Linked DNA regions of Macaca mulatta. The protein of the gene in region 3 interacts with the protein of the main gene of each other region in a pairwise test. Links are inferred from orthologs where the notes say so. Each region holds a gene or a part of one and is shown on either strand. Other genes may lie near its edges.

Region 1 (3,650 bases), on a different chromosome or scaffold from region 3:
CCTAGAGCCTCCTAATTCCCACCCACATTCTACTAAGTCTCCCTCCTAGTCATGGAACCAGCACCCACCACCACAGACGTCCCAGCTGCTCTCCAAAGTTCCACATACCACATGCTCCCACACTCTATCAAGCTTTCTTTCAGCTTTCATCCCAGACCCCACTTACAATCTGGGCTCAGAATCTTCCCAACACTCCATTCACTTTTTCCACTTAGCAAATATCTCCTTTTTGACATTCAAGCTGCTAATCTGTAACATCTGCTAGGTATCAGACACTGAACTAATGCAGAATGATATTACCTTTTATCTCTACTACAATCTTCTGGGTGACAGACATCACTACATGAACTGTGTAGATGACAAGGCTTTGGCTCAGAGAGGTGAAATGGCTTGTCCAAAGCCACACAGGGCATGGGCCAACCCTATTTCTGAAGCCCTTCTCCTCCCCCTGAGAGGATGACAGCCTTTCTTGCCCTACTCAAGCCCCAAGGTCCCCGCATCCCCAGGAGGGCCTCTATGCACCTGCCACGTTCTTCTGCAAGGCTGTGTTTTCAGCCTGCAGCCTCAGCAGCTCCCCATCCACGAGGGGCCCAGCTTGGGCAACCCCTGCTCCTGCAGCCCCCTCCTTCAGTTGCTGGTTCTCTCGCTCCAGCTGTTCCATCTGGCTGCAGAGCTGAACAGAGGAAGAGAAGGGGCAGAGAAGCAGAGAATCAGAACAGTATTTGCTGAAACCTACATAGCATTTGTCCATGTACTTTACAATTCACTCAATTCCCATAATGGCCCTATGATGTAGGTGCCCTCCCACTTTACAAATAAGGACATTGAGGCACAGAGATGTTAAACAATTTCAAATTCACACATCTTTTAAGTGGCAGAGTCAGAAAATACCAAGAGCATACCAAGTATGAGGACACCAAAAACCATTTTCCTCTTCCTACTTCCAACCTCAGAGATGCAATCCAAGACCTCAGGCTCCTCTGGAGGTTGTTAGTGCTACAGACAGCCTCACTGCCACCCCTCTTCTGTGGAGGGCTGGATCCTGGGCCCAGAGTTAGCTCCCTCTCATCCTAAGCACCACAAAGAGCTTGCAGGTCATTTCCAGGGCCAACACTGATGACAGCTCCTGCATTGCCAGCCGTTAGTCTTGGAGACGTATACAATGCCAATAAAACTAAGCCAGACCTCTGCCCAATTCCTGGCTAAAGTACACTTCTCAAAGCAGTCCTGAGAAAATCCCTTGTCCCCATTTTCTTTTTTTTTGAGATGGAGTCTCGCTCTGTCGCCCAGGCTGGAGTGCAGTGACACGATCTCGGCTCACTGCAAGCTCCGCCCCCCAGGTGCACCCCATTCTCCTGCCTCAGCCTCCCGAGTAGCTGGGACTACAGGCGCCTGCCACCACACTCGGCTCATTTTTTGTATTTTTAGTAGAGATGGGGTTTCACCGTATTAGCCAGGATGGTCTCGATCTCCTGACCTTGTGATCCGCCTGCCTCGGTCTCCCAAAGAGCTGGGATTACAGGCGTGAGCCACTGCGCCCTGCCCCTTGTCCCCATTTTCATATGAGAATATCGAGGCCTACAGAGAATTTTTATTTTATTGCCTGCAATATTTTCTTTTTCTTTTTTTTTTTTTTTTTTTTTGAGATGGAGTCTCGCTCTGTCACCTAGGCTGGAGTACAGTGGCACGATTTCAGCTCACTGCAACCTCTGCCATCCAGGTTCAAGCGATTCTCCCGCCTCAGCCTCCTGAGTAGCTGGGACTACAGGCACGTCCCACCATGCCCGGCTAATTTTTGTATTCTTAGTAGAGATGGGGTTTTGCCATGTTGGCCAGGCTGGTCTCGAACTCCTGACCTCAGGTGATCCACCCACCTCGGCCTCCCAAAGTGCTGGGATTACAGGCGTGAGCCACCGCACCAAGCCTGCCTGCAATATTTTCTACCCAGAACACCAATCCTTTCATCCAGTTATTCACATAACTAGCTTCTTTGCATCCTTCAGTGCTCTGCTCAGATGTCACCTTTAAAGTGGTATCCCTCAACAGAGAAAATTCCAGTACTCTCTGTCACAGCACTGTTCATTTCTTTCTTACCTAGTACTAATCACAATTTTCTTTTGTAACAAGCACAGATTCTGAAAACAGACTGCTTGAATGTGAATTTCTACTCTGCCTTTTACTAGCTGTGTGACAAATTACTTAATCTCCCTGGAACTCAGTTTTCCTCATCTGTCAAATAGGGATACTGATTATCTCATAGGCTTATTTCAAAGATTAAATGAGTGAATAATGTAGAGTACTTCAAACAGGACTTGGCACAAAGTAAGCACCATATAAATGTCAGCTATCACTACTAGCATTATTTGTTTACTGTTATCATCTTTCTCCCATCCCACCCCCAGAAGGTAAGCTAAGAGTGAAGATCATTCTGTGCTGCTTACAACTGTATTTCCAGAACATAGAGCATGTGGTGGGTACTCAGTAACTATTTGTTGAAGGAACAATTGAGCTGAAATGTCTTGGTGAATAAGGGGTAGTGGCAGGTTTAACGTAGCTCTCTCTGTGAGCACTTCCAGTTCCTGGGAGGAATTGGAGGAGGAAAGGGACTATGCAGGAAGTCTCTGCAACTGGCCCAGTGCTGGACCAGGGCAGATGCCGGGAAACAAGCTGGATTTATGGAAGAATGTCTGCCCTTGCCTCACTCTGCAAGAATCATGATACCATGGAGGCTGGAGGCAGGAAGCAGTGAGGAGTCAGTCGGTGAAGCCAGCAGTTATGTGAATACCAGGGGCTCTGAACTAGGGACAGGACCGGGGGCACTGGAATGTATTATGTAAAGGAGTGATGTCGTAAGATCTGCAGGTCAGAACAGCCTCTGTGGTGTGAACTAAGTAGAAGAAACTAGAAGTGAAGACACCAGGGAGGCGGCTGTAGAAACAGCAGATGAGAGGTGGTAGAGACTAAGGCAAAGCAGGGCCACAGGGTGGATATAAAACTTTTTTTTTTTTTTTTTGAGACAGAGTCTTGCTCTGTTGCCCAGGCTGGAGTGCAGTGGTGCAATCTTGGCTCACTACAACCTCCACCTCCCGCGTTCAAGCGATTCTCCTGCCTCAGCCTCCTGAGTAGCTGGGACTACAGGCGCATGCCACCACACCCAGCTAATTTTTTGTATTTTTAGTAGAGACGGGGTTTTACCATGTTAGCCAGGATGGTCTCAATCTCCTGACCTCATGATCCGCCCGCCTTGGCCTCCCAAAGTGCTGGGATTACAGGCGTGAGCCACCATGCCCGGCCACAAAACTGTTAAAAAGTCAAATATTTTAGAGGGAAGATGAGTTAATAGAAGGATAATATTATAGCTAATGCTTCCATAGCTGATACTATGTGCAAGGCTCTGTTCTAAGTGATTTACATACATTTATTCATTTAATCCTCACAAAAGCCCTGTGAGGAGGCAGGTACTGTTATTATCATGACTTCCATTTTAAACATTTGGGAACCAAGAACCAGGCAAGTTAAGTAACTTCCTCAAGGTTACAGTTAGTAAAAGGTAGAGCCAAGATTTTAATCTAGGCCTTCTGGTTACAGAGTCCCTGCTGGTAACTACTACTTGCTCAACTGCCTCTCCTGGTATTGTATCTGCTTAAAGG
Region 2 (3,180 bases), on a different chromosome or scaffold from region 3:
AATCTGAAAAATTTCAAAATCCAAAACACTTCTGGTCCCAAGAATTTTGAGAAAGGGATAGTTAACTTGTATGTGGTTTTTGCCTTTGAAGATCCTTAGTTGTTAAGAAATTAAACTAGTGACAGGCTTCTGAGATCTTTGAATCTTGAAGTATTGCACAAAGAATTTTTGCCCTCTGTTTTGAGCAGAAAGATAATAAAACCAAGAGCTCTTTCATATTAAGATCTAGAGCTGACTTTTTCTAATATCTAAAGTTTACCAATAGTGAAAGAGTTTTATGGTGATAGGATATTAAATAACTGATTTAATTTAGCATAAATAATATAATTAAATATAAACATAGAATAAGTTAGATGAGTTAAAGAATGTTGTGTTCTCAATTCTCTAGGACATTAAATTGTATGATTGGACAGATGAAGCATATTTTGGCTGCAGAACAAAAGAAAACAGATTTTAAGCCAGAAGATGAAAACAATGTTTTGATTCAATATACTAATGTGAGTAAAATGATTCAATTTGTTAATACTTTGCTAACATTTTCATTGGTGTATCCTACTGTGCCCTAGATTTTTTTCTTTTATACTTACAGATTAATGAGAAACTTATGTATTTCCTCTTTAGCTAAGCTGGTATACATTTCTGTGTAATGAGTGTAGAAAAACTTTTATAGGCTTGTGTAAAAGTCTGTGCTTACGTAAGAAAACAAGTGGAGAAGATTAAAAATTCCATGGATGGGAAGAATGTGGATACAGTTTTGATGGAACTTGGAGTACGTTTTCATCGACTTATCTATGAGCATCTTCAACAATATTCCTACAGTTGTATGGGTGGCATGTTGGCAATTTGTGATGTAGCTGAATATAGGAAGTGTGCCAAAGACTTCAAGGTATGTATATACAAAAACATCAATCTTGCAAATAGGCCCAGGAACATAAGTCAGATCATTAAAAATCACTATGTACTTACAATTAGTGAAAGGTTTATAACTTTTGTTGATATTGTATGAGATAGATTAACACATTCTACCTGAAACAGTGTTGTTCCAGTCATTTTCTTTTAATTTTAAATTTTAAATTTTATTTTATTTTCCAGAGACAGGGTTTCACAGTGTTGCCCAGGCTGGTCTCTCCTGGGCCCAAGTGATCCGCTGCCTCAGCCTCCCAAAGTGCTGGGTTTACAGGAATGAGCCACCACACGTGGCCCACATATTTAATATTAAACACATTTTTGCTTCACGGTGTATTTTCAGTTCCACAGTCTTTGACTTATTGACATCCATGACTAATGCTGTATATGTCACACATTAGGAAAATAACGTTGTCTTCATTTATGTCCCTCTGAATTTTTCTGTAACATTTAAATTATGAAAAATGCTATATATTAATAACTAGTTTTAGTCCACTGAAGTATATATGATTGTTACATTGAAGAGAATTGACATATGAATCTTTTTGAAATATTATAGTAAGTTTATTTAACTACGAAATCTTTAAGTTTTAATGCTTTGTGATCTTTAAAAAAATTCTAATATGTTGAACTCCACGCACACTAGTAAGTCCCACCTGACAGTATGTAAGAAGTTAGAAGCTAATTGTAAAACTGGAAACTGTTTTGTTTCAATGTTACTTTCTTTCTTCTCTCAATTCAGATTCCAATGGTATTACATCTTTTTGATACTCTGCATGCTCTTTGCAATCTTCTGGTAGTTGCCCCAGATAATTTAAAGCAAGTCTGCTCAGGAGAACAACTTGCTAATCTGGACAAGAATATACTTCACTCCTTCGTACAACTTCGTGCTGATTATAGATCTGCCCGCCTTGCTCGACACTTCAGCTGAGATTGAATTTACAAAGGAATTCAATGTCAGTTCCTTTACAGAGGAATTTCTTGTACTTCAGCAGGCCTCGGTTGATAGAAAGCACAGGAGATACCTTATGACACAGCCAACATTTTGTGAAACAGTGACTGGAACAAAACAGCAGCCATACTTACCTTTGAGGTTTTATTTAAAGTTTGGATACCACTAACTATATTTTGCTTTTTTCCCCTTATGTTGAATTTTAATTCCATTCTTGAATGTAGAAATTTCAGATTCTTTAAAACTACATGTCACTGTTTTCATCCTAGAAAATGTTGCTGTCAGAAGGCAAAGGAAATGTTACCAGTGTTTTCGGTTCTTGTACCTTTAACATATTCCATTTAGAAATTTTGCCATTCTGTTTTCCATTAATAATGGGCAAAATACAGGAAAACTACATTTATTATTCCTCAGTTTTTAATGACCTTTTCAGCATCAATTGTTAATCAGGTTATTTTAGGTTTTCATAAATAATTTTTTTGCCTCTTTCAAAAGGTTAACAATTAAGTTTACTTTCTGTAGTTGGTTGATTGGATTTTTTTCTGAGGGACAACATTAGTACTAGTCCAAAAAATGTCATAAACTGAACTAAAATGATGAAATATTTTATGTAGACATTAGGAGTGGATCAGAATACTTCTGCTTTCTGGGTAAAACTTAAAAGTTTACTATTTCTTATTTGGTAAATAGATTTTAAGCCAATTCTAGTAAGAAATTGATAAAACTACCTTATTTTATATTTCACTTAAGGTGGAGGACCTTAACTAAAGGACCATATTTATTCATTATTTTAATATTATAAGGGAAGTAAAAAAAGTGAGGTATAGTCTAAATAGTGCATATAAGAAATATTGACAGTGTTTAGCAACAATGCAGCCCTTTAAGATTTTCTGTCGTAATGCTAAACTTGAATAAGATGGAATGGCTGAATATGTGGTTAGTCTTTTATTTTAAGAGGAATCGATAGATTTGGAGATGAGCTTTGCAAAGACTGGTTGCTTTTCATGTCTATAGGTCTGTCATTGTCCTTTTTCAAAGCATTTCTGAAGTTATTCCTACTTGGATATAGTTAATGGAATTGACTTAATTTGATGACGTATTAAATCACTTATAAAATTTTGAACATCAAGTGAAAATTTAGAAAGGCCATTGCTATTCTATAAACCTTGTAAACTTGCTCTGGGAGAATGCATTCTAAATTATATGTAATGTTTCAGCTCCCATCGTGTTGTTCATAGTCTTCTAGGAACAGGATAAACTTAAGTGTTACTCACTCTTGGCATTTTTTCTTTAATACAGGCTTTTAAGCCTGTTTTTGGAAA
Region 3 (4,326 bases):
TCCAAAAAAAAAAAAAGATTGAAAAAAAAAAAAAAACAAAAAACAAAAACCCAGTACATTTCATGCACTGGCCCTTGATTTTTCCTCATCCCTCTGTCAAGCTACACAGAGCCTCCTTTTACAGAAGAGCAAATGAGCACAGAGTACAAAGGAGTTTAAAGGTTAGACAAACATTCCTTCACCAGCTCAGAGGCAAATATCCAGAAGGGAGCCTGACTGTTTCACTTTTAAGGAACAATGCCATATAAATATGGCCACTGATATGTCCAAGTGACAGCCTAGGACTTGGTTCTAGGTGACTTTTACTTCAGCTTGGCAAACTTCAACTGTCCTGCTTGCTCCTTCTAAAGCCCATTTTCTTTTTTTGAGAGTCTCACTCTGTCATCCAGGTTGGAGTGCAGTGGCGCAATCTTGTCTCACTGCACCTTTGCCTCCTGGGTTCAAGCAATCTCATGCCTAAGCCTCCCAAGTAGCTGGGACTACAAGCGTACCACCATGCCCAGGTAATTTTTCGTATTTTTAATAGGGTTGGGGTTTCGCCATGTTGGCCAGGCTGGTATCGAACTCCTGAGCTCAAGTGATCTGCCCCCTCGGCCTTCCAAAGTGCTGGGATTACAGGCGTGAGCCATCACGTCTGGCCTCATTTTCTATTTATTAGTTTCTACTAGTTTTTGATTAATTTCCTCTATTAGAAGAAAAGATTCAATTCAGAATTGCAAAGTAAAAACATACTTGGAAGTTATCATGAAATAAGAATACTAATGGTTAAAGCCTTATGATCAGAATGCAATCAATCTGTGAAGCTCAAAAGTTCAGTTAACTGTGTCTGAAGTGGAGATGCCAAAGATATGCTCTATTTTATCAGTTGTTATCATTGTGTAAACGAAAAATGAAACATAAAAGGTCCTTTCTTACTGATTCATGACCCCCACTTGCTTTTCTTCTTTGGACATTCCACCCTTCCCTTGTGCTCTGTGCTCCTTACTCAGGTTAAAGAAACTCAGCGTGGGCTAAAGAGCACTTGAAAATAAAGAAGTGCAAAGATGCAACCAAAAATTGCTAAAGAGCATGTTTTCCTTACATTTCTGACTGTGGTCTCTACAGGAAGAACCAGACCACTGCCATTTGCAGAAGCATTTGCAAACACTTGTCCTGATGAAGGCATCGACTTACTGGAGGATTTCCTAAGCCTTCTAGGAACAGATGTCATGCCCCTCTGTCACCAAGAACAGGGCAGTACCAGTCACAGGAGTCACTCACTGAAGGTGGACCAAAGGCACTGTGACCCCAGCATGGAAGCCCTTCCAAAAGTTCCCATTTTTTCTTACAAGACAGACTCACGCCTTCCTCAAGGCCCTCTCCTCTCTGTCTCCTCATCCATCTCTCCAGCGTGGTGCTCAAAACACACCCTTCTTGAGTTGCCCTTCCCACAGGCCTGAGATGTTCTGTGTGTTGCCTGGCTAATGCCTCCCCGACACCCCCTGTCTGGGTCACCTTTCTTTCTAACACACTTTCACGGACCACACTCCTTAAGAACTCTTGGCTGGTTTTTAATTATTCACTCATTAGTATCACAATTGGATGAATACTGCATTCCCTCAATAGACGGTACGCTCCATGAGACTAGAGCCGTGTCTGCTGTCTTTCTGCAGGACTTACAGCCCTCCCAGCACGGTGCCCGCTTCCCTGATGCCATTCCACAGTATTTGTTGCCGAGAAGGAGGCAGCACGCCAGGACAGATGGAGACAGGACTAATTTGGCTTGAGGTATGTAATTTTGAACTTGAGCCTCTCTCTGGGACTGTAAAACTCCAAATCAAAGTCTTAATCTGAGAATACACACATCTGAAAGACTGATTAGGGACTGGTAAACATCTATTAATATTCAACTCTGAAAGAAAGTACAAGTTGTTTATTCTTACCACGCAAGGCCAAAAAAGGGGAGGAAAAAAAAAAAAAAAAAAACACCACACAGTATATGCACTGGGAAAGCTTTCGCTTATTCAAAACAGTATTTGTCGAGCACCTCCAGGTCTGGGTGCTGCAGGGGAAACAAAGATTAAACAGCCAAGGCTTTGCTTCCAAGGTGCTTACTGTCTTAAGGATACAAGGCATGTTTATAAATAGCCAAAATGCAACTCAGAAAAGACTAAAAAACACTGAGAGGGAGGGAGAAATAAACGAAGAGGTCTCCGGAGGAAGAGATGAATTAGTCTATCAGAAACTCCTCACCGTAATCCCAATGTAAAGCAAGGAATTCCAAACCAGGAAAGGTCAAACTTAAGTATTTGAGGAACACAGGCGTCGCCCTAAGCCCTTCACACGGCTCGCTGGGGATAATATAGCAGCTGAAACGGAACATCAAGCTGGCTTTCCAAACCTTCAGTTATTTACATTAGACTGAGAGGGGAAAAGCGCTAACAGTGCAGGCGCAGAGAAAGAGCAAGAGGAAACTTGAAAAGGCGGATCACTCCAATGCGCTGTGCACAGCCCCGCCCGCGCCCGGCGCACCCGCTACCCCACCCGAGCTCTCTGCGGCCCGCGTCCCCCATCTCGGTCCTAGGCCCAGACACTTCCGAGACCCGTCCCACGGCTCCGGCCGGCGCCACCGCCACCCTCAAGACCCCCGCAGCCCAAGCCCGGCCCCGCGCCGGCGACGCCCCCCGCGGCCCAATCCGCGCGCCCAGCCAGCCCGGGCCTCGTACCGTAGGTTTCGGACATGGCCGTCTGCGACATCTTGGGAGCGGCGCCGCCTCTCGCCGGGTCACCGGCTGCACTCGCCCGCGGTCCGCTGGCGCGTCTCGCTGGGGAAGAACCTGGGGCGGGAGACCGGAGGAGGGAGGGGCCCGACCGGTCCCCACGGCAACCGCCGGCCTCCCAGCGGCTGCGGCCCAGCCGGACTCCAGCTCCGCGCAGGCGCAGGGACCTCCACCCTCCGTCCGGCCGCGACCGCGAGGAGGAAGAGGAGATGGGCTACCCGAGGCCCGGCCCACGCCGCGTTCGCGCGTGCGCACGGGGAGGCGGGGGCGGGGCGCATGGGGACTTCGGCGCGCGCCGGAAGCACGTGCGCGGGCTGGGTCCCCTGGCTGTGTGCGCCGAGGCTGGGCGAGCGGCGGGTGGGGGCGTTGCGGGCTGAGTCCCGATTTCCCTCAGGGAAGGCCGGGTAGAGGCAGGCGGTGGGCAGGTTTGGGGGTGACAGAGGGCTGGGGACAGTGGGGTCCAGTTACCGAACAGAGGAGGAAGGTGCCTGCACTGGGGAGGAAAGCAGTCCATTTGCCACACTGGCCCGTCTCAGTTAAAGACATTGTCTTCGGTCATCATCTGAGGCTGTCAGCCAGGAAGAAACTTCCCTGACGCAGTTACGATCGAGGCCAGAACTTGGTTAATGTGTAACAAGGGGGCAGTAGGCCCCAGGTGTCCAGCCAGAGGCCGCCCTGTGAATGGGAGGCGGGTTCATTTACCCGTTGGGAAGCTAAGCTTTCACTCCAAACTGCCCGGCCCTCTTGAATGGAGCTGAGCAGGTGTGGGCAGAATGACAGAAGCTCAAGATGCCCAGATGCTGAAGGGTCATCGCAAGACTACAGACAGCAGCCTCTCCACATCCCATTTTAGAGGGTTCTGGATTACGGCTGAGAACTATCTCCTGGCCCCCAGCTGGGGATGTGTTTCCAAATTTAGGAGTTTTTTTGTTTTTATTTTTTAACAGGGTCTGGCTCTTGTCAGCGCAGCCCTGTCGATTCTCCCACCTCAGCCTCCTGAGTAGCTGAGGCTAGGGGCACACAGCACCACACCACGCCAATTTTTAAATTTTTTGTACAGATGGGGTCTCGTTATGTTGCCCAGGCTGGTCTTGAACTCCTGAGTTCAAGCATCCTCCCTCCTTGGCCTCCCAAGTTGCTGGGATTACAGGCGTGAATCATCTCACCTGGCCTTGGATAGTTTGGTTTCAGAAGCAAAACTGAGTTAGAATCCCCTTCTGTGGGAAATGTAGAGATAAACATTTATGGGAAAGAGAATTTTGGTTGAGGATTTGGCCCATCTGAGCTTGATCAGGGCCACATAGCGCCTCATAGTTCCCAACCTTGTTCACAATAGGTTGTCGAATGCTCAAAATATCCCTGGCTAAGCTCCCAAGTGACCTGGACTGTGTGGAAAATGCCAGTACAAAGTTTTTTTTTTTTTTTTTCCTGAGTCAATTTGGCTCCATCCTCCACATTGGCATCAGAGCTTCCCTCTTCCCCAGGGGCTATTTGGGTCGGTATTTTTCTCTTCTTTCCCATCCTAATAACAAATAAATGCAGTTTTTTTTCTAAACCACAGAGAAGG

Evidence for each region.
Region 1: the proteins of RAB4A (region 3) and GRIPAP1 interact in binary tests that used the Homo sapiens proteins (3 or more experiments, as listed by UniProt). The link is inferred for Macaca mulatta from reciprocal best matches to the Homo sapiens genes RAB4A and GRIPAP1.
Region 2: the proteins of RAB4A (region 3) and EXOC5 interact in binary tests that used the Homo sapiens proteins (3 or more experiments, as listed by UniProt). The two-hybrid records come from large-scale screens. The link is inferred for Macaca mulatta from reciprocal best matches to the Homo sapiens genes RAB4A and EXOC5.

What each region holds. Positions count from the first base shown.
Region 1 is NC_133426.1:49,071,086-49,074,735, forward strand, and holds part of GRIPAP1 (GRIP1-associated protein 1), read right to left. Parts: intron 674-3,650; coding exon 523-673; intron 1-522. UniProt on the Homo sapiens protein: Regulates the endosomal recycling back to the neuronal plasma membrane, possibly by connecting early and late recycling endosomal domains and promoting segregation of recycling endosomes from early endosomal membranes.
Region 2 is NC_133412.1:130,322,520-130,325,699, reverse strand, and holds the end of EXOC5 (exocyst complex component 5), read left to right. Parts: intron 1-388; coding exon 389-497; intron 498-670; coding exon 671-886; intron 887-1,648; coding exon 1,649-1,837; 3' UTR 1,838-2,628; downstream 2,629-3,180. UniProt on the Homo sapiens protein: Component of the exocyst complex involved in the docking of exocytic vesicles with fusion sites on the plasma membrane.
Region 3 is NC_133406.1:19,774,621-19,778,946, forward strand, and holds the start of RAB4A (ras-related protein Rab-4A), read right to left. Parts: upstream 2,933-4,326; 5' UTR 2,737-2,932; coding exon 2,706-2,736; intron 1-2,705. UniProt on the Homo sapiens protein: The small GTPases Rab are key regulators of intracellular membrane trafficking, from the formation of transport vesicles to their fusion with membranes.